Linked DNA regions of Caenorhabditis elegans. The protein of the gene in region 2 interacts with the protein of the main gene of each other region in a pairwise test. Each region holds a gene or a part of one and is shown on either strand. Other genes may lie near its edges.

Region 1 (11,088 bases), on a different chromosome or scaffold from region 2:
GAAGCACACATGTTTTTGACTGAAACTCTTGAATTTACTGTTAAAAAACTCCATATAATGTTATCTCTAATTTTTTTTTGCCAAAAATTGTAGACTGCTCTGCAAAATTATCACTTTTCCGCGGGGAGTACACGAGCTCAGAATGGCCGTGTTATACGAGAAGCTTGTTTAAAAACGCATGCAGCTTTCGTGAAATTGCAATTTTCAATAAAACATACAAATATCCTCCATTATATCCAGCAACAAGTACTAAACCAATGGCAGTCCATTTAACAATTGATTTCATAAATTCTCTTGAAGATTTATCTCGTTCTTCACGACTCGACCGGGAGTTATCCGGATTCTGACTCCAATACGTGGACCAGTCTCTGAGAATATTTGAAATTCAGAAAGAATATTTATATTTTATTACGAACCGACTAAAATCATATTGTGGAGCTGTATTCGGATATTGATATCGTTGTCCTCCATTCGGATATCTTCCACCACCACCTCTCAATTGATAATCATAAAGTCGACGATCAGCTGGTCTTCTGAAATATATCAGTTTAATCTAAAAATCCGAATTTTAAAAACCTGAGCACATCATATGCATTTTTGAGTTCCAAGAAGCTAGCTGTTGCAGATTCTTCGGATGAGTTGTCAGGATGGACCTGGAAGAAAACTTCGACAAATTTTCACGAAAAATTGATTAAAAATGTTTGTTTTTTGGTTATTTTCGGAAATTCCTCACTTTTTTCGATTGTGCATAAAATGCAGATTTAATTTCAGAAAGTGTCGCCGTGCTTTCAACACCGAGCACTTCGTAATGTGTTCGCTGACGGATTTTTTTGTTGAAGAACCTGGAAATTTTACTATTTTTTATTTCTGTGAAATTAAATTCTCAATTATTCAAAAATCACCTTGCTTGGCAAACCCAAAAACCGTGAGGGCTCCATCGAAACCCTTGGAGCATTTGAAAACTCTTCTACTTCTAAAATGATTATCATTTTCTAGCAATTAAAAATATGCAATATAATTTAATTTTTTTTTGTTTCATATATCCCCATTGTTCCAACAATTAATCCTTTTAGTCTTTTCTTTCACATGTCACGTATTCATATTTATCATAATATCATGAGTCATAGTTGAATAACTGTGTTTAAACAACGCATAAATGGGAAAATAGAAGAGTCGAATATTTAGATTTGAATAATATCATAATTAATAAAATAAAATAGATAAACATTTTCAGGGGGATGTCGAGAGTTTGATGGGGAGAGAGAGGGGAAAAGCGTAGAATTTGAAGTCTTTGCGCGAGAAATTCGGGGTTTTTTGGCGGCGGATTTAACAAGTTACTTGAAAAATTGGATATGACGAATACAAGAAGAGGGGAATAGAGAAACCGAGCATTTTTTGGAAGAAAACAAATTTCGGATAATATTGTAAAAGGCACTGATGGGGTGAACAAGGAAGTGAATCGGAACAAACCAATAAATTTTCAAATTAATAATAATAATAATTGTTGTCCTATAAAAAAAACGAGAAAGGGAGAAAAGAGCCAAGATGATGAGCATTTGGAAGTTGGTGGGAGACAATTGAGAATATTGTTTAAAAAAATAAAAGGAAATACGATAGAACAAATAATTACATATTTTCGTATTGATCGATTCTTCGTTTTGTGTTTCCTCCACGGATTTGACGGAGAGTCTTGTACTTGTCGCGTCCGGCCTTTTTGTTCTGAAAATTTAAAAATTTGGAATCGGGCCGGCAGGTTTTTCGGTTTTTCGATATTTCGGTTTCGCTCAAAAAATCTAAAAAATTTAGGGTCAAACTTGTTCAAAAATAAGTAAAATTTATGTTGCTTGTTTCCGTAAAGGAAATACCGAGTTTGGAATGTTTTCAGAAATGTTTTCGGTTTGTCTGCAAACAGAAAACACCGAAAAAACTCAATTTCTGTACTTCAAACAATTTTAATATCATAAAATTATTTTTAAGCAAAATTTGTTTTTAATGGCTTTTTAATGATTTTTAATGATTTTTTTTATTTTAAAATAATCCGGAACTCGATATTTTTTAAAGATTTTTGCGTTCTTCTGTTTTTTTCCAAATTTAATTTTTAAAAAATTGTATTTTGATCGCAGTCCGGAAATATTTTTTAAAACTTGAATTTATGAAAAAAATGCAGGTTCTAGAAAATTACTGTAAATTTTGAATGCTAAATTCTCTAAAACCATCCATTAAAACGAGTTTTTTTAAAATACGAACCTCCATATGCAGAACGTCGTAGTCAGTGACAGCGTTCTGATCTTTAACACTGTCAAGCTCGCGAGTCAACATATCCAGCTTATTCTTGATCTGAATGTTCTTCTCGGCTGCTGTGACACGCTCCAACTCGTGTTGTGGCACATTCTGATCAGCGTCATTTGTGAGTTCTGGAAGATAAAATTTGAAGATGATATTTTTTCTCATAATCTCTCCCAATTATTTTAAATAAATAAAAAAGGCATACCAGTTGCTCCATTATCTTCATCATCAGTGGCAGTCTCATCGTGAGCGTGTCCATTGGAAACGTGATGACTGTTTGAGTAGTGTTGAGTGTGTTGTTGCGAGTGAATCTGAATTTAAGAAAAAATAATTTTGAAATAAAATAAATCCAGAGTTACAATCAGGGATTCCGTTTTTTTTGGTTTTTTCGGACAAGAAAACATTTAAAAAAATGTTTATCAAAAATTTTATGTTTTAGTTGGTATGACGAAAAATGAACATTTTTGTTTTTTTTTGTTGGTTTTTTGGAGAAATTTTAAACAAAATTTGTTTGTTTTTTGGCCGAAATTTTTGTTGCAACATCACTGCGTACAATTAAAAAATCTCGCTTTTAAAGATCGGATTTTTTATTCTTTCACAATTTTTTTTAGTTTTTTCTTTTTGTATCTCTTTTATTGTTGCAAATTTTTTTTTTAAATTAAGCTTTTTTGTTACAGTAATCAACTAATTTCAGGAATTACTGCATACTTTTTTTCATTTTAAAATTTTAAAACAGTAATTTCAGACTGAAAATTACTGCTCGATAATTGTTAATACGGTATTTAAAATAATTTTTTTAAAGAGAATTTTTTGTTTCTATTTTAGTTTCAAAAATAAAAAATACCTGTGTCTGAAGTTGTCTTGTAACAGTAGTCTGTCTCTCGACTTCTTCTCTCATCGAAAAAACTTCACGTTCACGAGCATCAACTTGGTCTCTCAAATGACGTCTCTCACCATCACTCATTGCTTTTTCGGATTGAAGTTGAGCAGTGAGCTCACGAAGTTCGTATTCCTTCTGTTCCAATGCTTGTTTAGCCAATTGCAATTGCTTGAGTTGAGCCTCCAATGAGTGAATTGTATTGTGTGCTTCAGCCAATTCAAGACGAGCTCTCTCCATATCTTCCTGCATTTGAGCCATACGCTTTTCGGCGTCACGTTGACGCTGTTCGGCTTCTTCGCGAGCAGACATCTCCTGTACGATCAAAACAGATTTGAGTGAAAGTTTTTTTAGAAATTATTTGTAAAAACATGTTTCAAAAATTTCCGCAACTTACTCTGGTGAGCTTCTCCTGCTCGGCAATCTTAAGAGCACGATCCTCTCTGGCTTGTTGCTTCATTTGTTGAACTTCAATGGTATCTGGCTTTCTTCTACGCATGTAAAGCTCGTGATTTCCCATACACAAAGCAAGAATACGTTTGTTGATACGGAGTCGTGGAGCGTAGAAGACAAAGTCCTGAAAATTAATGATAAAAATGAAGACGAATAATGAAAAACATTTTTTCGATTTTTTTTTCAGCGAAAATAAGAATTTTTTTTCGATTTTTCTAAAATCAAAAAATCGGGGAAAAAATGTTCAGAAAAATTACAACAAACTCAATTTCCACAAAATGTTCCATCCATCTCGAAATTTGCGATTTTTGATACAAAAACACATTACTCGATATCGAGGCGATCGAATAAATTTAAATGAAAAAGGATGTGCGCATTTAAAAAGTACAGTAGTTACCGTTGAGCTGATTTGAAATTTTCATAGATTTTTTCTAAATATTTTTATTGTAAAAACCTTTTATTTTACTTTTGTTAGTGAAACTAATTTTTATTAATTAATAAACTAGAAAAATCTAACGAAGTTGGAAATCAGAAAGGCCTGGAGCTACTCTACTTTTTAAAGGTGCACACCATTTTGGTAAATAAATTTATTCGGTCGTGTCGAGACCGAGACCGGGCACCATACTTTTGCCTCAAAATCGCAACATTCCGCATCTGGTCAATGATTGTGATATTTTCACACCCCAAAAATAAGAAAAACCAACAAAAAAATTTTAAATCAAAATTCAATGTTCCATCGATTGCTTCTTATCACCACCACTTCCAACTACTATCACACAATTTTTCCGTTTTTTCCGCAGAAATTTTGCCAACAAATAGAAGCTTGATGCCACGACAAACTGTGTGTGACAGTAATCACTTACATGAGCCTTCTTATCAATTGGTTTGATGACAAATTTCTTGTCGTTGAATGATATATTACGAATCTCCGACCATGGGAATCCGACTTTCGGCGAAAGACGATCAGCTTTATCGTAAATATTCAATCCAAGAGCATCGACACCAAGATAGAGATCAGTTCCCTTTTTGTTGCGGATTTCAAAGTACTGAAATTAGCTTTTTTTAAAACTCGACAGAAAAATGAGAAACAGTACATTGACTCCATACATCTCGAGATCTTGTGCAATTTTCAAATATTCAAGCATAGCTTGTTCACGTGTAGTTGCACGATGATCTGCCCACCATGTCATAATACGGCGTTCCCATTCCTCACTGTTCAATTTGAATTGTCCGAGAACGCGTTGAGGAAGCAGACTGGAATGAAATAATTAATTATTTTTGGCATTTAATATAAAAAGTTTACTTTTTTTTAACTACTTCTTATTATATACTTTTTTATTGATCATCTAGATCTGGAACTTTCCCTTCTTTATTCTAATCTCATTTTCATGTGATAATTATGAATTGTATGAGTACTGTGATACTGTGAAATTTCACTACATAATTAAAAATGAATTATCGCAGAAAATTATTATTTTTCTTATTTTAGTAATCTTGATTGGAATTTTGAACCGCAAAGATATTTTTTAATAGTTATTAATAATTTTTTTAAAAGCTAATTTCAAGAAAAACTCACCGATCAGCAGTAAGACATCCGGCGACATGTGTCTCTGGAACATAGTCTCCATATTTAGCTTGCATCGCGTAAGAGGCAAGAAGAACAGAGGTTTCCGGTGGACAATAAATCTCATCTGACAGAATTCCATCTTTCACTTGGAGATAGAACAAACGCTGAAAATATTTTCATTTAATTAAGGCTTAATTTCAGTTAAAAAACTTCATAATTTTTTAACTGTATGTTCTGTACATTGAGATTGTTTTCTGACATTTTAAAAAACCATACTCCATTTTCAACTAATGATTCTGAAACCCAATTGTTCCCTCTTCCAAACAAAAAATTCTGCAAATTTTGCAAAAAGTTCAATTTATATTCTCTTCCCCTCATATTTATCGTTTTGAATCATTTTTTGATTATTCACACATGCCATTCTCCTCTTCCTCTTTATGTCAGTTATGAACATGAATATAAAAAGAGCAAAGAGACAGCAACAAACTGAGAGTTTTTTCATTGTTTCCATTGATATGAGTCATCGGAACAGAATTTAAGTCAGTCTATCTATTCAAATTCAAATGCGAAATATTATTGGAAATCTAAAAAAAAGAGAAAAAATCAATTTACTTAACCGGAAGTGATATTTATATTTTTGAATCATTTGAGAAAGTGCTCAAAAAAGGTTTTTTTGTGAATTAGAAACTTTCAGACCATTTTTGTGCATTTTCTCAAATGTTTCAACTGAAAAATGTTATTTTCATAGAAATAAAAGTATTTTTCTATATTTAAAAAAAAAAGAAATTTTTACATTAATTTTAACAACTGATCTAAATTTGCATATAGGTACTAAATCAATTTGCATATAGGTACTAAATAGCTATTCTACTGAAATCTTCAACTGATCTTGTGATCCTATTCAAACAAAACAGACCACCCAGATCAGAGATTTCCTGTTCGCAGTCGGAGGTTCTAATAGGATGCTCATTTCTCCTCTCAAAAAAAGAGTCTCGCACACACAGTGTCTTCCCATCGATGTTTACAAACCATTAAACAATCTCTTTTTGTGTGAGACAAAAAAGTGGCTCGGAGGTAATCGGAAACCACACTCTCAATGGGAGAACCTTTTTTTGAAACGGAAGGGAGAAAATGCCCATGTTTACACTTGTCACCATCAAAATATTTTGTTTTTAGGCAGTTTATTGAGGACCTTGTGAGCACATGAGCCGTGGAAATTTTTGAGCAGAAGAGTTTTTTTTGCTCAAATAAAACTGGTTTAAAAAATTCAAAAATTCTTTATAGCGAGCCAAAATTCTCAAAAAAGAGCCAAATTTTCCTAAATCGGAATGCCATTTTATTGAATTATCACTGGCATAAAAAACTTTATTCTAATTTTAGCAAAAATATCGGATTTTTTTAACAGAAAAAATATCGGATTTTTTTCAGAATTTTCACTGCTTTAATTCATTTTCGGGCATTTTTTGAGAAATTTCATTTTGAAATTTGGTCGTTTTGGGGTCTTTTTAAGCAGGCCAGCTTGTAAGAAGGTACTCTAAAACCACAGAAATGTATTCCTTACCAAAATTTTCCCCTTTTTTTCTATTCTTGAATATACTCCAAAGTTATTTCCTATTGCTTGCCAACATTGCATTACATGCATAAATGGCACGGGCATTCTCTACTTATCAGTTACAAATCAGAAATAGCACAGGAAATCAAGAGAGTCGCCAGAGAATGTCAGAAAAGCGAAAAGTGAGAATTACAACTAAAAATCAAATATTGGCCAGAGGTAATGGAAAATTTACAGTTTTTTTTTTCCAAAAAATTAAATATTTAAAAAAAGGTGTCAAACATACCATAGTGACATCCTGGATAATCTCCTCGGCCACATCTTCCGGATAGAATTTGGCGCGGAATTTGAAAACAAGAGTCGGGTCCTTCTTAACGTCCTGAGACAAGACTTTCTTGTTCAATTTCAGCCATGTTGGGAATCCCTTGTTGTCAGTGTACTGAAGTCCAAAATACCAGATCTCGCGGAGACCAATGGTTTTGACAACCTGCAAAAATTAAAATGAAGGAATTAATATTGCTGGAAAATTCGAAACTCAATTTCAAGAGCTGGAAATTTTGGATTATTTTTTTCAAATTTAAATCGTTTTGATTTAAAATTTCTAATGGTTAGTGAAAATTTAATGTTTCAGAAAATTCTGATTTTTTTTTTGAATTATTAAAATTTATCCATTCTCCAATTTAATAAAAAAAGTACTTTTTAAATATAATAAAACAAAATCATCTAACCTGATCAAAAAGTTGCTTTCCTGTGGTGCTCGACTGAATAGCGAACTCGAGCTCCGAGTCCATCGAGGTGACACGCACATTGATCTGAAACAAGAAATAGTTGGATTAGGCAAAAATAAAATCGATTTTTCGTTATATTTTTTCTTAAATTTCTAAAAAAAATTTTTTCAATTAACAATTTACATCGCCGGCCGCAACCATTTTTCTATTTTGTGTTCCACAAGTTTGAACTGCTGGACCAATTGATATGAAGAGGTTAGCTTAAAATTTTTCAGTAAAATGATATAAGAAATCTTGCATGAAAATCAGAAATTCAAAATAAAAAAAAGAGTGAAACTTGAGAATTTAAAATTCTTATCTAAAACTAAATGATATGAGTTGTCACTCTCTCTCCCTGTATACAGCACAAAAACGGAGTGAGAAGAACTATAGACCGCCCGTTTTTGTACAGGCTCCGCCTATTTGTCGGTTTGCACACATACATGTGCGCATTTCTTCATAGAAGTTTCGGCAGAAAAAAAAAGAATGAAATGATATTTCAAATATCATCAATTTTGAGTTTATTTCGAGTTCAAAATTGTTCGCGGCTCTACTTCGTAAGCGTAAAAATCTGAATTGTTTTCTAAAATTTTTTAAATTAATTTTGTAAAAAATATATGTTTTGTATTTTATTTCCCACTTATATGTTTAAAAAGAGGCGCATTTATGCAAAATGGTATTGAAACCCTCTATTTTCGAAAATTTCAACAAAACCTCAAAAATGAGTCCATTTTGCAGAAATATGCCTCTTTATAGTCTTATAAGTGAAAAATAAAATACAGAGTATATTTTTAGATCGATAGATTCTTATTTTTTAAAAAAATCGGCAGAAGTCGTGCTGAACAGAACATAATTTCCGAAATATTCAACATTTCACAGTTTCAAATTTTTTCCATTTGTTTTTAATTAATGGCGGCATTTTTTCCGAAAGAAATAAGAAAATCGCAAATTTAAACAGTGTTTTTTTTTATTTGGCCGTAAAAGTTTTAAATTATTTGAAGCTACATTTTTCAAACTTACCGCTTTTTTCGACATTATTTTAGCTCTTTTTGATGTCCGAGTCGAAGATGGATTGGGGTGAGCGGTGAGAATTCACGAAACTTTTCCACCGAAAATCTTCGTCACTTTTTTCTGCAAGAAAGTAAAATAAGATGTGAAAATAGAATTCGAATGAACAGAGATTTCAAAAATTCATGAGAAATCAGAAAACGGAGCGAAGAAAACGAAACAAATGAGTTCAAGGTTATGAATTTTAAATTTTGAATAGAGAAATCTAATTTTTCAATCATTTATCCGAAAATTCAAAGTGACACATGGAAAATTGTGTATATTTTAGGGGGATTTATACATTTGGCGATTAAAAAAAATCAATAAAACTCGAAAAACAATAAAAAATGAGTCATCGTCTGATTCAAACCCGTTCGGATCCGTTTTTGGCGCGTTCTGCGATTTGCCACTGCACGAGAATCGCGCCAGCAGGGCGTTGGCGCGATTCTCGGGTGCCTGGACAGTTTCTTGGGAGTTTTGGCGAGTTTGAGTTTTTTTTAATGCTTTAATTATTTTAAAGAAAAAGTTTCATGAATCAAAAAATTATTCAGAAAAATATGTGTCACAGGTGGGAATATTGATTTTGATTTACAGGTACAGGGCTATTATTTCCGGCAATTCTACAAAATTATTGGGCTATGTTGTTCCAACGTTTTTCACTAAAAATTAGTGTCAAAATATCGAAAATCACTCGATTTATCTGGAAATGAAACATATTTTTAGCTGAAACATTTGAAGAAATGCTCAAAATCGGTGGGAAAGTTGCAAATTGTTAGACAAAAAATCTGATAATTCGATAATCGGATACTGGCAATTTTCAGGCCATTTTTAAAAGCTTTCTTAAATGTTTTAGCTAAATTGAAGTTTATTTTCAGACGAATCAAGTAATTTTTCGATATTTTAACACTAATTTTGAAAAATGTTGAGATAACATGACAACAAAAAATTTGATGGAAAAAGCCAATAAAGCACACAAACTGGCTTAAATTTTCAGCTGGATACCGTATTAGAACAGTACGGAAAAAATTCCAAGAAGTTCGAGACAATTCGCTAAATTTTTGATAATTTTGAAAAATTAACTGGAAAAATAAGGAAAGTAAAGATTCAATATAAAAACTTCCGTAAGGAGAATGAAAACAGCAAAAAAACACCTATTGGAAAATACTTGTTCACAGAAAAAAGCGGTTCGATCAAAATGATCTGAAACTACGAACCGAGTACAACAAGAAGAAATGAAAGGTTTATTCTCTATTCTCAACTGCATTTGAATATATATAAAATATGAATACAGTACTATGTAAATAAGTTTGAATGTGTCGTTTGTATGTGTCAGTGAGACACCTTTCTCTCTCACACATTGACAGAGTATTATTGCAAAGTGATAGGAAGAAATATGCAAATGTGAAAGAATAACGTTTTACAGACGGAGCACAACAATTCTGAGGTTATGGAAAGCTTTCAGGATCTCAGTTGAGCAAAAGAGGAATAGTTGACTTGATTCAAAAGTCAATTGACTTTCATGAAAAAGTAAGATTTTACAGAATTTTCTCAGTCTGTGTAGCATTAAAGAAGAAAAAAGAATGTTCAACAAGTTCTAAGAGATTTAACTCAACTTTGTAAACTGCTAAAAACAGACAACACAGTACGATTCAGGTTTGATTTCTGAAGAAACGAACGAAACGAACGTTGTAATAAAAGTTTGGAAATGTTTGCTGTATGACTAGGTGACGATGGATTGTGTGTAGTAGGCGGAAGATGACACTTCAGATATTTTCAGAAAAGAAGAACATCAATAGAATCTAACTTATTAGTTTTATGCATTGCAGATAATCTACTAATCTATAAATTAATAGATCAGCTGCAATACAGAAAATATAATTTAAAAAATATATTTTAAAGCAGAAATATTGAAAAATAGTTATCAATTCTGGGCTGTTTTTTTTGTCAAAAAAACTTTTTTCCCTGGGCTTTGGAGAAATTAAATTGTTATGTTTTTAGTTCCAAAATTTCCAGAAAACCTCGCATATTTCCATATTCTCCAGCTGCAATAAATTAAAAATCTCGAAAGCCAGGTGCGAGAAAATATAAACTGTCTAAATTTGGCAGATGTGTCTTTAGAGTGATTGCTGACACTCGAATTTGATTTTCTTGAAGTTTCAAAAATAATTTGGCACGTCCCCTATGCCTATATAACGTATCAAACAGAAAATACAGCAGGCTTCCTTACCTTAAAACTAAAACAAGTTATAAGGTTAGGTGTAGGTGTATTTTGGAATGCGAAAATAATAATAAAAAAACAGAGAAAAAACTCTATATCTATATGATTCATTATGCATATATGTTTGTTTAGTTATGTGGGAGGTTATGGTGTTTTTGCATTGCACAATTGTATATTATGAGAGAATGAATAATAACGGGTAGTAGAAGTTCTGAATGTGAGAACTCAAGCAAATAAATTATTTTTCTACAAAATGAGACAATGTTACATATTGTCACAATATTTTTAACTAAACATTTTAGTGATAGAATATAGAAGAAA
Region 2 (7,879 bases):
CAGTATTCACACTTTTCAAGATAGGGAACAATCAGAAGGGTAGAATGATTCTTGAATACGCTTCAATTTGTGTACATACAGAAAACTTTTTTCTTAATGAAAATACTTCTATACTAGCAAAAAGTCAATCAGTAAAAATAGTTGAAAAACGACAAAAAACTTGGAAGAAGAACTAGGAGAAAAAAAGAAAATCGAATGAATATAATAAAAAGTGGTAGAAGACGAAGGGCCAAGGACAACCATGTCGAGAAAGGAAGTATAATAACAACAATGGATGAGAAGGAAATCTTGGAATTGAACATTACTAGGAACATATATTGAAATGAAAAAGAAGAAGAAGAGGATTATAAGTATGTGACTATCCAACCATATATCACTAAGAAATAACGCTTGCAAAAAAGTGTTCTGACCATGTGTTTTGTGATAAAAACTTCATTTTCGAATGTTCGAATTTGAAAAATGTTCTTTCCGGAAAATTGATTTAGTGTTCCCTTACAGACCTGAGAAATTAATTTTAAAATTGTCAAAAGTTTGAGCAATTTTTATATTGTCATACTGAAAGCCATGAAGAGCTCCAAAAAATCAAAACAGGCGCACCTTAAAGCACACAAAAACACGAAAATCTTATCCATGAATCAGTACATATTCCAAATGATTCACATCTCTACAAAGTCAGTACTCTCTCTCAATCAGTCTTCTGTGCTCAATGAGCTATCTTTCTCTCCCTCTCATCTTCTTTATTTGCACACCTTGCCAAACAGCATACAGTACCGACAAACAACAATCCCTACAGCAGAACCGAAAGGTACACGTTTCCGACGTTGTTTTCAATTGTTTGGACCCAACAAGGTTGACCATTCGGGGTGAGAAAGAAAAAGAGCGGCTGGTTAGAGGAAATTGTTGGACATTTGCCATTACTCTTTTGTGATCTTTTTTGTGGTAAAGTGATCAAAAACATATTGACAATGAATTGAAGGGGAACAGTACAAATCCTGAATTTTCAATGATGAAGTACCCGATACCTTGTGACAATCGCCGTAGTGGGGTCCAAAAATGTGTTTCTACCAAATTAAAAAAAGTCAACCACCTTGTGCTAAACCAAAATATATGTTTACAAGCACAGTGGGGAAAAGGTTGAAAACCACTTTTATTATACTGAAATGACAAATATCATAGCAAAACTTTTGGCAATTACTCAGATTCCGCATATCACAATTTTGAAAGCTGACTTTTAAAAAATCTATGAGTTTTAAAAACATTAAAACCATAAAATTTAACGCATATCCTCACCTTATCAATAAAATGCATTTTGAATAGTTTTCTTTTATCAATGGAATTCACAAAAATGTAAATTTTTAATAATTTAGAAATGCAAGAAAAGTGAGATGTTGGATAGTTGAATTGAAAATATATCGGGAAGATAAAATCAAACCGAGAGATTTATGAGAAAGATGATGACTAATAATAATAATCGGAGGGATTTGAATTTCAACAACAGGGTGTCAAGAGTCATATGGAGATTGGATACTTGTAAATTTATGTATAGTTTTACAGTTATTCAAACAACTAAAGCGAATAAATCGAAAAAGTATGTACTTTTAAGTAAAAAATCTTATAACTTTCAATACTTTCAGAGACCCAAAAAAAAAACCGAAATCGAACTATTTCAATATTTCGACGGAAAAAGGAACCCTATATCCTACGCCACTTGAAATAGTCTAATGTATATTATTTCTGATATTCTTTCGAATAAAAGTGAATATAAAAAACAAGTCCCAAAAATATCGGATTACAAGATGCGTTTCAATGTTGGGAAATGCCAAGAAATAAAATTCAAGTTTTGTGAAAGTTTTCCGACAAGTTATTTGTATTTCTAACATGTTCCGAAACCACAAAACATTTTATGAGATTCAAAGTTTGTTTGAAGGAAAAGAATATTGAACATACAACGTTTGATGAATGTGTACTTTTTGAAGAAAATTAGTAAAATACTTGAGAAAGTGTCTAAACATGACAAATGACAAGAATGGGAGAAGATTGTTGGTTTTTTGTAAAAATTAATAGAATTGGAATGTTGCAATCTTTTAGTGAAGCAAGATATTCCAATGCGTCATGCTTCGTTAACTATCTTTCTATTGAATGAGAGAGAGAGCACGAGACACAGACAGATTGAAATAAAGACATGGCAGGTGGAGGATAAAAAACAATTGGAAGAAGGTGTCTAATGGAGGACCAATTAGATATATTCAAATGAAGGTCATTTATTAAAGGACAAAGAAACGAAGAGGAAGATTTGTAACGAATGATAGGTAAGTGGAATTGTTGCGGATTACTGTAGTCAGACAACTTTTTTGAATTTGGTTCTCTCTGAGAATATGGCTTACGAACAAGATTTCTTAAAGGAGTAAAAAATTTTAATCGATTTTCCATTTTAGAATTTTCGAATGTTTCATCGAGTTGTAATATACTGTTAAACACTGGAATGCTGGTAACTCGTTAGTCTTCCAAAACTATTTCTGTTTCATCATATTTTTAATTATGTCACAATTTATTGAAGTGTTAATTGTCAAAAATAATAACCTATTTATTGATTAATTTACACTCCTCTTTGAGTTGTTTTTCTACACTCATTTCAATCTTCCTAACATTGAACTGTGCAAATTTCCAGTCCGCCAGTCTTCCAATATTTATGTTATTTTCCGTATCAATACCTCATAAATCTATCTGCTATCATATCTCTGTATCCCATTTTCTCATTTAATTTACAGTTCCTCTTCCAACTTTCTAATGTCTCAATTTTGATCATAAATCATCATTTTGTTCTGTTTCTCTCGCACTAAACATATTTTTTTATTACTTGTCTTCTTCATTGTCATTTTCTTCTCAATAAAAAATGATCTACCTTCTCTCTCCTTTCTTGCCAATGCCACAACACACATTTAACAAAACATACATAAGCTTCAAGAGGCTGAATGAGAGAGTGCGTAGAGTGCAGACACAGTTTTAACAGTTTTCTCGTATGTTTGCGGTTTACTTGGCAAGTTGGCAAAATTTTTGGAAATGTATGCAAGAGAAGATGGAGGAAAGATGAGTCAGAAATATGAAGAAGAGGAAATGATACTCGTATTTATATGAAAATGAAATTCTTTTTGGAGAAAATGGAAATATTGAAGAAAAAAGTTGAAGAGGATGACGAATACCTCAACAAATGTTGGAATAGTTTATAAAACATAGTACCCAATTGATAGTTTGGCGAAGTTGGTCTCTAATCAATTTAAAGAAAAAATACTGAAATCCTTATCAAATTGTTTTTGAAGAATTTGGGTAAGGATAGGCACGCGTACCAGTATGGGAAAGATGAAAAACAAAGAAAAGAAACCAGTTGAAATACCATTTCAATTAATTCTACGGTGTGCATTTTATCTGAAATGCTGTAAAACAAGTTGAGATTTCACGTTTTAAAGAAGTATGGTTTTATGATGAATTATAGCCCAAACCAAAAAATGTGTAATTTAAATTTTTAAATTTTGAATAAACAGGAACAATTGTCAGCAAAAAATTTGGATCAACTTTGGTCCGTAAAATATAATTTTCCATCGTTTCTTTGGAGCTATCGGTTCATTTTAAAGACAGTTGCTGACATCAACAAAATTATTAACTAAAAAATTATAGTAAAATAGATTATAAGTAGAAAGTTGTCAAATTATAATAAAATCAATGAAAAATCAGTTATGAGCTGCCTACAGTAAGGGGGTGCAATACTAATAGATAATTCTCTAACTTTTAAATTTATAATTGTTAGAAAGAAGTTTTATTTTTGAGTCGATATTTCAAAATCACAACGTGTGCTCACCCGACTCCTAGATTCCAATGATTCAATACTCCTTACAGATCCATCTTTGAAGATTCCGTTCCTTTTTCGTGAGGTCCTCTCGTCTTCTTCTTCTGATCTTATAACTTCATCAAATTGTCTCATCACATCCCGTTGCTCCGCATCCATCCAATCACTCATTCTAGTTCTTTTGATTCGAATTGATTCAGTTTTCCAATCAAGTTTCGGAACTCGCAGCAACACGTGGCTACCAGATGGAACGATAGCAATGAGTTCAGATGGGCGGATGGTAGAAGCGTCGGAGATCGTTGATGATGCACGTGAAGGTGCACGGAAAGATACAGTCGATGATGTGGTGGTAGTGGTGGAAGAAGCAGATGATGAGGGTTTCTTCAATTTCTTTAGCAACGTCAAAGACTTTTGTCTTGAGAGAGTAGAGACGTAGGCTGGAGAACAAGTCCTCTGAGACGAATGAGGTGTTAGACAGTTGTTGCAATAGACGAACGACGAAGAGGGAGGCAATAATGATGAATCCTTTGGCGCTGGGTCCCCTAGACCCGCTACTTGTCTAACTGTCTGCGTAGCATCTCCTCGTGTTACTATCTCAGTGCGCGGAATACCTGCGTCTCTGGTGATCTGCTCCGTTGATTTGTCATCGGTAATCCGTTGTGGTTGTGGGAGATGTGGTAGATGCGAGGAGATCAACCACAAATAGTACACGAAAGAGGTGTAGAGATACGAAATCCACGTGATTGGGTTTTTCCAATCTATTCTTTCTGGTTCAGATGGATTGCGATCCATGTTTGAAGAAGGCAATATGCAGATTTAGAATTGAAATTTCTTAGCTGAGAATAAGAGTTGAGAATACTGTAGTGATGTGCCGAAGAGCCAAGGAATGTGAATCAAACAAAAGTGCCTTTTTGGTATTCCTTTGTTTGTCAAGATATATAACTTTTTTGTCCCTCTTCGTGCCTCAATGCATAGAATATGTATGGTTTGGCCCATAAATTCTTTGCCCCGTCTTTTTCCATCTTCTTCATATTTTTATTGAATATTAACATACAAAACAGGCACACACACACAAAACCAACGCTATTGTGTCGTCCGTTTCTTCATCGATTCGAGAATCATCGAAAAGTTGTTCCGTTTGAAGAATAATGGTTGAGAACGTCTTGGAGTGCATGGAGAATCAGATTGTAAATCAAAAATTGGAGGAGAGAAAGTACAAGTGGATGACTAGAAATGATGTCTTAGCAATACTTAGATATTACAAGGAACTTAGAAAAGTTTACAAAACTTTTGCAATAAATCAAATATTTTTATGGAGTTCTAAAGAAAAGTTTTAATCAGATTTCAATCGCCTAAACTATATAAAGCATCATCGAATGACAGAATATGTGCATTACAATTTCAAGATAGTCTCCAAACCAACCACGGGTTTTCCTTAATGAGGAAACATTTTTTGTGCGGAAAAGGCAATTCCCGAATTTTTGAAATTTATGAATAAGTCTTTTAACTATTTATGAAACAGAAAAAAATTATTCAATTTTTTTGCAAGAATTTTTATTTCCATTTCTTCATTTGAGATCGGATATTGTATAACTTTTTAAAAATTTCAGTTCTAAAATTGCATAGCCATTAATAATGTTAATTCCAATTTCCCCAGGTTCAATTACCAATTTTTAATTTTCATTGTTCCTATAACTTTCATCTAAAATGACGTCATTTCTTGTCTATCGACTCCCTGTCTATCTACCTCGAAATATTTGTCAATCCTTTTTTAGTGTGAGAACATATGAAAATGACGCATAAAAATGGTTCAGTGTGACTCAGTAGATATACGAAGTTCGGTTGATCAAGTGCAACTAGAGGTGTCAAATAAACAAATGATGCTCAATGAGCAACTACAGCTATACTATTTGATATTCGATACTGTTTGAAAATTACAAAATAACAATGAGGAATAAACAAAGTGGAGAAAGGAGAAAATTATGTGAAAAGGCAAAAAGACTGACCTGTGAATATGACGTGGGTGCGTACCACGAACTTGGCGGGGGAGAATTGTTGGACGGATGACAGGAGTTCCTCTGACAATTGGTAACATAAGGGATTTTAGGCGCAACAAAGGGAAATAAGACAAATGGAAAATGTTTCTAATTTTACTGTCAAAAACGAATATTGCATTCTTCACGACAATGAAGACTTTTTTATCTTACATGTTAAAAATTTTAGAATTTAAAATAAAGTTAGGAGAATGAGAAAAGTCACACAAAATTGTTTTTTTTAATTTTGTAAAGATAAAATCTACATTTTGACTAACCATTGGAGAAACTCGTTCGATATTTGGAAGGTCCAATGTGATTTGAACATTATTTTCATTGTACCACTTAGCTCCTTCTTCAGAGATCACAAGCATTTCACATCGATTTGGATTTGCTTTTATGCGCTCAACCACCTTCTTGTGATTTTCTCCAATAATCGAGTGACCATTGACAGCAAAGATTCGGTCACCAGTGATTAATCCTCCTCTGAAAATATTTAAACAATTGGTAAAATAGAAACAAAAATTGCAGTTTCTTCTCCGACAATGCCAATACTTTAAAATATTCTACAATTTTCAGAGCTGACCAGAGAAAATGGACTAACTGTGAAAGCCTTCATAGCATTTTAGTATTGAGAGATTTTTGAAACTCAATAATTTATTATTGGTTTTTAATTGATATATGTATTTGTCAATGAATATTGTCCATCAATATCAAAAATAAAAATGTTTACCTCTCAGCAGGACTATCCGGATCGACGGTACCAACGAACTGTCCACGTCCCTTCTCGGCGTGCAAGTTGTAGCCATATTCCTGAAATTAAATGTTTTTGAACATACATATATGGGAATTTAAACTATAGATAACACACTATTTAAACTCCAATTTACATCACGTGTTGCCTGAAAAATTATCAGATTCAAAAAGTTCCATGCGTTACAACTCAGGCTGAACTGCATACTTTTTTTCCAATTTGTGAGGGTATTAATAGTAAAATAACAATATTCCAAAACGTTTACTTATAGAAGAGAGAACATATACAATTCTGTTTCAAACATTTGAATCACTTACATTCTCTCCATTCAACTTCTCAACGACACAAAGTCTTGGAGGAGTCACGTCGCTCGGAATGTGCACCATGGCTAAAAATGTAAAAATTAGAAATGGGAACATTCCAAAAATGCGAGAAAAACTGAAAAACAATAGAAAATTTATTTATTTGTGATTCATTGCTACGATACACTATTTATCAGAATAAATAACATTTTTCGAGAGTTCATAAAATAGGTTCTGGGAAAATGAGTCACAGGAAATTTCTCAAACTGATGTTCAGAGAAATATAAAATAAAAGTTTAGGAATTTCAAAAATTTGACAAAAGAATATGAGCAAGAAAACAACAGAAAAAGTGACATGAATCTGAACAGTAAGGAGAATGCTGAGAAATCCAGACCTACTCAAGATTTGGTAGAATTTACGATCGGAAACATGGAAAACGTTGTTCGACATGGAAAAAGCGAGAAAAAAGTGACAAAATGTAGGGAATAGGGGGTAGAAAAAGAGCGTGTAAGAGGTGGTGATTATGCCGGGTGCCGTAGAGTGAAAAGAGGACACAATCTCTTATCACTTCGGCATTTTTTCGAAAATGCTGGCAACTCTCCACATCGGCGCCGCAGACCGACAACTATCTGTCCGACAAGCTTTTGTATTTGCGCCAAAAAGATGTGAAATAGTTGTAGAAGAGAAGTGTGTGAGAACACTGTTCTTGAAACTTCCACGTGAAACAGACACACGTGGAAAAAGTTTGAACAGTGGCAGAAAACGAGAGAGAGGGGAGCAGTGAGTGACTGAGAACACGCATACCGTTAGAGGTTAGACACGCAGAACGAATGAATATGCTTGACACTGTTTGCTCTTTGTGCTCTTTTGTGGGGGAAATTGGAGAGTTGCAAAAAAGTTTCTAAGCGAATAAAGTAGCCTGTACTTGAGAAAGTTGGATGATGGAAA

Evidence for each region.
Region 1: the proteins of nrfl-1 (region 2) and erm-1 interact in a two-hybrid assay, tested with the Caenorhabditis elegans proteins (2 studies listed by BioGRID).

The regions. Positions count from the first base shown.
Region 1 is NC_003279.8:5,282,972-5,294,059, forward strand, and holds erm-1 (Moesin/ezrin/radixin homolog 1), read right to left. Parts: upstream 7,724-11,088; 5' UTR 7,665-7,723; coding exon 7,647-7,664; intron 7,548-7,646; coding exon 7,464-7,547; intron 7,223-7,463; coding exon 7,022-7,222; intron 5,348-7,021; coding exon 5,193-5,347; intron 4,871-5,192; coding exon 4,711-4,870; intron 4,663-4,710; coding exon 4,480-4,662; intron 3,741-4,479; coding exon 3,561-3,740; intron 3,479-3,560; coding exon 3,131-3,478; intron 2,598-3,130; coding exon 2,492-2,597; intron 2,415-2,491; coding exon 2,248-2,414; intron 1,720-2,247; coding exon 1,627-1,719; 3' UTR 1,091-1,626; downstream 1-1,090. Other genes in the region: dnj-4 (J domain-containing protein), read right to left, coding at 219-368, 417-533, 577-653, 734-842, 903-955.
Region 2 is NC_003282.8:9,118,235-9,126,113, reverse strand, and holds the start of nrfl-1 (Na(+)/H(+) exchange regulatory cofactor-like protein nrfl-1), read right to left. Parts: upstream 4,743-7,879; 5' UTR 4,634-4,742; coding exon 3,854-4,633; intron 2,837-3,853; exon of another isoform or gene 2,436-2,836; intron 2,310-2,435; exon of another isoform or gene 2,238-2,309; intron 1,309-2,237; coding exon of another isoform or gene 1,291-1,308; intron 1-1,290. UniProt on the Caenorhabditis elegans protein: Scaffold protein that connects plasma membrane proteins with members of the ezrin/moesin/radixin family and thereby helps to link them to the actin cytoskeleton and to regulate their surface expression.